2 linked regions of the Bombyx mori genome follow. The protein of the gene in region 2 binds, or shares a complex with, the protein of the main gene of each other region. Links are inferred from orthologs where the notes say so. Each region holds a gene or a part of one and is shown on either strand. Other genes may lie near its edges. The genes, in order: Znrd1 and RNA polymerase I-specific transcription initiation factor RRN3.

The links.
Region 1: RNA polymerase I-specific transcription initiation factor RRN3 (region 2) and Znrd1 share a complex: the UniProt entries of both Homo sapiens proteins name them as parts of the pol I pre-initiation complex. The link is inferred for Bombyx mori from reciprocal best matches to the Homo sapiens genes RRN3 and POLR1H.

Annotation. Positions count from the first base shown.
Region 1 is NC_085112.1:11,752,130-11,755,569, reverse strand, and holds Znrd1 (transcription-associated zinc ribbon protein), read right to left. Parts: upstream 1,771-3,440; 5' UTR 1,770-1,770; coding exon of another isoform or gene 1,765-1,769; coding exon 1,638-1,764; intron 1,414-1,637; coding exon 1,203-1,413; intron 945-1,202; coding exon 920-944; 3' UTR 629-919; downstream 1-628. UniProt on the Homo sapiens protein: Core component of RNA polymerase I (Pol I), a DNA-dependent RNA polymerase which synthesizes ribosomal RNA precursors using the four ribonucleoside triphosphates as substrates. Can mediate Pol I proofreading of the nascent RNA transcript.
Region 2 is NC_085116.1:3,278,817-3,283,428, reverse strand, and holds the start of RNA polymerase I-specific transcription initiation factor RRN3, read left to right. Parts: upstream 1-1,755; 5' UTR 1,756-2,323; coding exon 2,324-2,732; intron 2,733-3,656; coding exon 3,657-3,756; intron 3,757-4,612. Other genes in the region: Galpha12 (G protein alpha subunit), read right to left, coding at 297-797. UniProt on the Homo sapiens protein: Required for efficient transcription initiation by RNA polymerase I (Pol I). Required for the formation of the competent pre-initiation complex (PIC).

The sequences.
Region 1 (3,440 bases), on a different chromosome or scaffold from region 2:
CTCAGCAATTGACACGGCACTGTTATTACTTGAGAATGTGTAAGTGATCTAAAACAACCACATCATAGCTTCTGCCCACATTTCTAGAGCAAAATCTCATTTTAAAACATCATTCACAACGGACACTGTTGCCAATACTACGATTATTTTTCTTCATTGTATGGTTACGCTAGCTCACAGCCCACTTGATGTTGTTGTGGTCTATAGGATACGATGCCGGTTTACAAGTATCAAGCGATTGTGCTGGTGTTAGTATCAAGGGATAAGGCCTTAGGAGGCAGGTAAAAATTTTCCTTAATAAATATGTATGTATTACAGAATCCAGTGACTTCTACTATGGAAGATTAGCAGTGTGTACTTTTGTTATACAGGCATATTATGCTTACTGTAGGAAACTAATATGGCCGAGCTTGTTCTACATAGAATTATTTCTGAGTAGTGTATTATAAGTTTATCAAAAATTGTCAAATGTAAATCTTCTACACTAAGATCCAAATAAACTTGTTGCATAAAACTCTTCAATATTGCTATGGTTTTAGAAACATGGAAATAAAACCTTTTGAAAAAGAAACTTTCATTGAACTTATTATTTAAAAATAGAAATGTATTTCTCAGCATAAAAAAAACATTTGGACAAATGTTTATAATTTCAATTATTCAGATTTGATTCTATTACATGTAATTTTTAAAACATGGTTTTTAAGATTAATCAGTATAGAATTTACAGTTTAAAAGTTATCATTCCAAGAAATGGAATTAAAATTACGCACCAGTTACATGGTGATTAATTTTAATCCTTATTAAATTTACCTAATTTAAAACAATCAGTAAAACTGATTTTTGCATAAAGTGATTCTGATACAATGATTCTATTGCCGAGTTTTCCTTTGACAACCTTAAAACTAGTATAAAGCAGCCTTTAGGAGTTTTCAGTTTCCTTGTATCTGAAAATAAATAATACTTTACGATATTATCTTGTACGATGTGTTCTTTTTTAAATTAGGAAATAATTTTATTTTTGAGATAGTAGTTGCTTACAAGATCATTATTATGTCCAGTTTTATATTACCAAGGAAATTTGGCCACAAGTTGCAATTATTTTCCTGTCTTAGGCTAGTGGTAGGGTCCAATTTTATTTAATACAAGTACAGATATTGATGACTTGCTCATCGAAATACAAATAAATATTGTAATTTACATACTTGCACTTTATACATGTGTAGAAAACTGTTTGTCCTTCATCGGCCGATCGTAACTGTAGAGTTGCATATGACATTCTGTCGTAACCGCATTTAGCGCATTTTCTCTCCACAACTGGACCCTCAGGACCATCAGTATGTAGTATATTCTCATTTGTGATCACAGATATAGTATTGAAATGTATTGTGTATTGAAATTTCATTTTACTATAATCTGTAAAAAAAGAATTTCTGAATAAAACATTTTTTTAAGTTTTTATTTTATATTTCGAAAACAAATACAACAGGTTCTTTCTGGATTTCATAAGTATCACTAAAGTTTTTTTATTTATTATAAATTTAATAGTGAATATTCGAAAATTATACAAAAGCATAACGCTGAAAAATCGTATCCCGTTTATATGAAAGTAATTTTTTCATTGGCAACTATATACTTACTATCAGCCTCATAATGTGCTTTACAAGTGTAGCATTTCACGGAGCCAAACTCTTGTAGCAAGGGTAATATGGACCCACAGCGAGCACAAAACGCTGTACTAGTTGATAACGGGCTTTCAGTGGACATTATTTCTAAAAGTAAACACAATTATCACTAAAAGGGTTGTGTATTTTTGTTTAGAATATTAGGTTATTTTAAATCTTTATCTATTAGTACTAAACATAACCAAAATATATTTTTAAACCAATATGAAGCATACTATATATTTTTGTGAAGGGTTTTAGACAGTTTTAGTGTATACATACCCTAAGTATTTGCTATACAAAAACCTATTTTTTTTTTACTATAATGATAAATTCATTACTTACGTACAATTTTTTTTAACTGTTTGACAATTGACAAAGGAAACATAGCCCATACTGATAGTATTAGATCACTTGTAACTAAAATTTGAAAAGATGAAGTTCAGTAACTGTTTCTTTTTCTTACCTAAGCTCATAGCCTTGAGAGGCTATGTTAGCGTCACCTAACAAGTAGGTGAGCTCACGGGACTCAAACCTGATGACGTTGCTAACGCTAACCCTAGCAAGAGCAGTGCTTCTCTGAATCTACCAGCGGATCGGAATCGCGACCTACTGAGAAGATCCGGCCAGAAACTCAGTGGGTTGTGTCTGTGGGTTAATTTACTCGCCGAGCCCTTTGTCGCAAGCGACGGTTTCGACGAGAACGATGACTGGTGATTTGAAGTGCTTAAAAGCACCGTTAGTGGATCGGGAGGATACGAAATGACGTGCTGTAATTAAAATAATGAAGATTGCACTTCTACGTTTTAGTTTTGGTGGACTTTTTGTCTCTCTACCACAGTCTGTGACAATGCCTACAGAACTACAGAACGCTCCCAGTAGCTGTAGATATAACCACTACAGTCTACTACAGCTCATTTTTAGCTCTTGCTCTTTACACTATTACTAACTCCACTCTATAAACGAAATTATAAACGCAATTCTTCAATAGTGGATCTCTAAAATCAGTCATCTTCATTGTTTCTCATATATAGATTAGTAGGTATTTAGGAAATATGTTGACAACTGTCGTCGTTGCGGATTAAACTCAAACTGCAGTATAGGAAGCATTTATTTATTCCACACGCACCTTAAAATCGTATACATTAACAATCAATTGATTTTTATCTTTGAACCTTTTAAAAACGTAAAACACATTTTTTTATATCATGACATTTTTCCCTCAAACTGACAGCCTGTCTTTTGAAGTGAAAACTTCTTTAGAATCGTTGTGATTTCAAACCGGATGCAACGGATAAAACGACAGGTAAGAGACACAAATACAAAAATGTGTAGGATGAAGCCAGCAAAGAATGAGACAGAAATATACATACTATTTAATACAGCGCCATCTGTGAGATTTTTTAATACTAACGCGTGTATGAAAGTTCTTGTAGTGAATTTTAATTTAGGATTATACGTGAAATTAAAATAACAATTCACAGAGGGCGCTACCTTACAATTATTTACTAATGACAAAATTTTACATATACCTAGTCAGGTCATAAGTATTGTCACACAGTAAAAACTTTTCTTTTAAAATGCTGGCCACAAAAAAAGTTTATTGAATTCGAATTTCGAATTGTTCATGAAAATAAAAATGTATACTTTTAGAATTTTACTCATTTTTAAATATAGAGTGGACGCTTAAAGAAGACCATGTTGCAGGTATTGCGTTGCATCGTTGCGGTTACGCGCCAATTCAAATTTTTAACATACTGAAAATTTTGAATATAACCA
Region 2 (4,612 bases):
ACAATGTGATTGCCACCACTAACCTTGAAGACAAGTAACATTTCTATTTATATGGCTGTACTATAAAATAGTTTATTCCAATTAAGCATTACCTTTCTTGTTATATTTAGCTATAATTAAAACTTTTAACAATAAATATCTGGCAAAAGGAATTTATTTGAAAGCCAGAGTGTCACATAAAAACCAATTGTAATAAATAAGTATATATTATAATGCAAACCCACCAAATTTTGCATTATAATATATACTTAGGTAGGAATACATTGCAATTGCTTTGTTTATTGTATATAACTTACCAATTGAAATTCTCTTCGCCTGTCATATGCCCTTTTTATGGCTCTGTCTAACCACAATGAGTGTATGTGCGGCGCGTAGTGCATGAAGAGTCGGCTGTCGAGCGACGCCGTGCTGTTGAAGTGCAGTGCTTGCTGGCCGATATCCAAATTCCGCGGATTCTCCCATGGTATCGCGAGTTTGTCTCTTGCGTCCACTAACACCTGTATGCCTTTGACAATGTTCTGATATATCACATGCTGGTACTCCCGCACGAGTTCCGGTTCGAATTTCACTTTGTGTATGATTCTCATCTGTTTGAGGAATGTTGACTTTCCGCTTTCACCCGCGCCGAGTAACAACAGCTTCACCTGCCGCCGCAAAGTTTGCTTATCTTTCTCGAGTATTCTGTCGATCTCTTTACTCCTATATCGTTGCTCTATCTCCTCCGGCGATAGCTTCAGACGCAGCCAACAAGTCAGAGCCTCTGTACAGCAGGTACATGACCACAAATCGTTGGCCATTTTGCATGATTATCAAGACAATTAAAAAAGGAAACAAATCAAATCACACTTTATTTGTACAGTTCATTATTTTAAAGTTTTCCAACACAACACACACACTGATAATGATAATACAAAATGAAGATTAAATCCGGAATTCCGAAATACACACGCATTCCACCCCTCCCAATTTCATTGAGAAATGAAAAGTCACAGATAAACGACAAACGTCAAAAATTCAAGTAGGTAGGTACCGTACATGCAGTCTAACATCAAATCACATTCGTAATCTGTAATGCAGACACAACATTCATCTCTACTGTATTCTCTTATATTCTTATTTATATATGTTGTATCTCTATTGAATTCAATAAGTATTGACAGACAAAATAAAGCGGAGTTTATATGAATAATCTAATATTTATAATACTATCAAAAAAATTCGATCGTTCGTACGTTCAATAGATTTGTAACTTTTTAACTCAGTGTTTCTACTTAGGGGAAAATAATAGACAAAGTTTAATTAATCTAAAATAGGAGTCGATTGGCCAGATCGGAGTAATTTTTTACCATGTGTATTATCTACGGAGTTTTTATACGAGTTTCATTCCTAAATTGGGAAAATAAAACTTTTCATTGCAATAATACAATTTTTTTTAAAACATTAAATCGATAAATCAGCTCAAGCTCAAACTGATGACATTAATTATTGAAGTCAGAACTAACTTATTTATAACATTAAAACTATACACAGAAAATAAGTGCTGTCGATAGTTTAATGACAAAACGCAAAAGGGCTCTCATCGAAATAGACAATAAATCTAAAAATAAAAAGTTTTAATAGAGACCAATACCTCAACTAATATGTGCAGTATTTAGACACTAACATGGTGGCAGCGCTTAATACGATTTTATTAGGCGTCTAATTCTTCAAGCCACAAAATTAATTATGCTTTCTTTCGAAAAAGACTTGGTTCGAGTCTTTCAAAAGAAAAGACTAACGTATAGTCATTTTATTCTTTGCCTTTTGAAGATAGAAAAATCAAACCAAAATGACAAATTTCGGCGTGTCAAATAGAAAGTCAAAAAGTTCCGCGCACGTTGCGCACGTGTTCATAAAAGGAACTGAGGTGAAGAATTAGGTTTAGGTGGTTTAATTTGAACGTACGTGTACATTTTCCGTTAATTCATCATAAATATTAATCAATAAAACATCAGCAACATTGTACACAATGTAAAACTTAGAGTTACCGTTAAGCTATGTCGAGAGAAGGTTATAGCCCAGAAAAGAAAGAAAGTGACAACAAGGCTGTTTTAGAGCGATTACAGTCTTATTTGAAAGACAAGAAAAACACTGACGTTTCCGACACGAGCGCCGGGTACAGCAAACCAAGTACGAGCTACGATCCGAACACAAATACTGTCCCGAACATAGAAGATAGTAGTAATATTTTACGCGAAGTACTGAACTACAAAAAAGCAGAATTGCTTCGGCAACCAGACGTAACAGAGTTTTTAAAGGCAATCACGAAAGACTTGAAGAAGTAATGGCGGTAGCGGCTAGGAAAAGCGTCGCGTCCTTGATGCAAAAAACTCTGGATCGCCAAGCGGCTTTAGCTCGTACTAGATTGAAATTCTCCGAAAAACAAATAGAACAGATACTTCTTAATTATGCTAAAACAGGAAACATTGGACCTTACTCGGAATTAGTCAGAGTTTTGAGAGATTACCCATTAAATGATGAGAATTTTCGGATTATTCTCGAAGATTGTCTCTCTTGCGTTCTGATTATGGGACAGGATTTCAAGCAGTTTGTAGAAGCAGTGTGCAATGTTGAGTGGGCTAGTAGGTGTGAAAAGTTAGTCAACCTTTTCAGCACCTTCATCATTAGCCTAGTCACTGCACATATTTACCATTGTCCGCAAGTGATGAGCTGTCTGGTTAAGGTTTTTAAAGGTAAGTTAGCAACACACAGTGGTAGTTCTAGTATACCTGGACAATGATAGCCACTTACGATTCATTGGTTTGTAGGAATTATGAAGATGTCATAAATTATGCTATTACATTATATTATTCTATAATTGTAATATTAAATATAAAATTGTTAAAAGACAAAGAAAATAGAAATGAACATATAAAATATATATTTATATGAACGAATAATCAGTAAATACTAATAAAAACATTGTGAAATATTGTGAAAGAATTTAACACATAAAAGTCAATACAAGTACTCTTTCAGAAATCTAGTAACATTTAAGATTTGAGATTTTCTTTTATTTCATATTCTTACTAATATAACTACTGAAATATTGTATTGTATAAAACTGAATTATATTATTATCATGCTATTAGTCCGTTACTTTTATTATAATGCTTAGATAGGTGGATGAGCTCACAGCCCACCTGGTGTTGAGTGTTCACTGAAGCTTATAGACATACAGAATGTTAATGCTACCACCCACCCTGAAACCTGAGTTCTAAGACTTAGTTTTTACAGTACATCAACTACCCCACCCTTCAATCAAAATACATTACTGCTTTACGACAGGAATAGGCAGGCAAGTGGTGGTACCTACCCACGCATGCTTACAAGTTTCTCTACTGATAGTAATTAAGGAAATTAAAACTTTTACGGGTTTGATTTTTATTACACAACTTCACTGTGGAAGTCATTTGTGAACATTAGTTAAGTAAGTAGTATTCCATCAGAAAAATTGTTACCAGCCTGCAGGATTCCAAACCAGCAGTCACAAGTTGAAGTATCCAAGATAATATTTAAAAAAAAATATTGCCTTTTTAGGCAGACTTACTTAATCTAATAATAATTTTCATAACATTAGTTAGAGATATATTTGATGATGACTATGATATTTTTAGCTAATGAAGAAAACTGGGATGACACTCCACCAACAGAGAAATTGAATAGCTGGTCTAACATTCATACAATCATAGGACAAATTATCGCAATAATGCCGATGTAAGTATTTTACGTAACTTTCTTTAAGGTTATGCTTCATATTACATTGTTTGTGGATGTTTATATCTATCTAACAATTTAAGTAATGTCAGGACTATTTTCTAATGAAGCGCCCTATATGTGTCACGATACATAAAAATTTATAAAATATTTACAGAAATCTTCAACAATTTGAATTAGAGTGGTTTGGGAATTTAATTATTTGAGTATGTGTATTGATTTAGCCCCAGTATTTACTCTTAAGTGAGTGGATATAGGCTAATATATCAAAATGCTTCATGAAGCATATTGATGATATATTTGACAACCTACAAAGGTTGGATGAGATATTTAATTGGTCAGATCTCATTATACTAAAACAGTTCCCTTTTTGGGAACTGTCTTCTGCAGCTAACTAAAAATGTTTGAATACCACAAGATCATCACATAGATGTTTAAAAAGTTTATGGGACCCACCATACTACTTACAAAACATTAGCTGATGAGATCATATTTGAGCCTTCTGTGACACACTCAAAAATTTTAATATAATACTTAATAATAAATGGGTCAATGAGAGACTGAAATTGTTCTCTTAAAATAACCAGGTGCACAGAGTTCTATCTGGCTTTATAAATGACTCTGGAAACTATGTTGTGTGATTTTGCACCTACATCAATCAATACATAGGCGGCACTGAAAATTTCGGGAATTAACGAAGTGACACAACATTACTATTTAAAAATGTATTTATTGCTTTTCGAAGTATTCTCCGCGAAATTTGACACATTTTTCCATACGATGGAACCAATCATTGAAGCAACCATTCCATTCGGAAGTTGGGGTCTCCAAAATGGCCGTTTTGTAGGCGTCCACA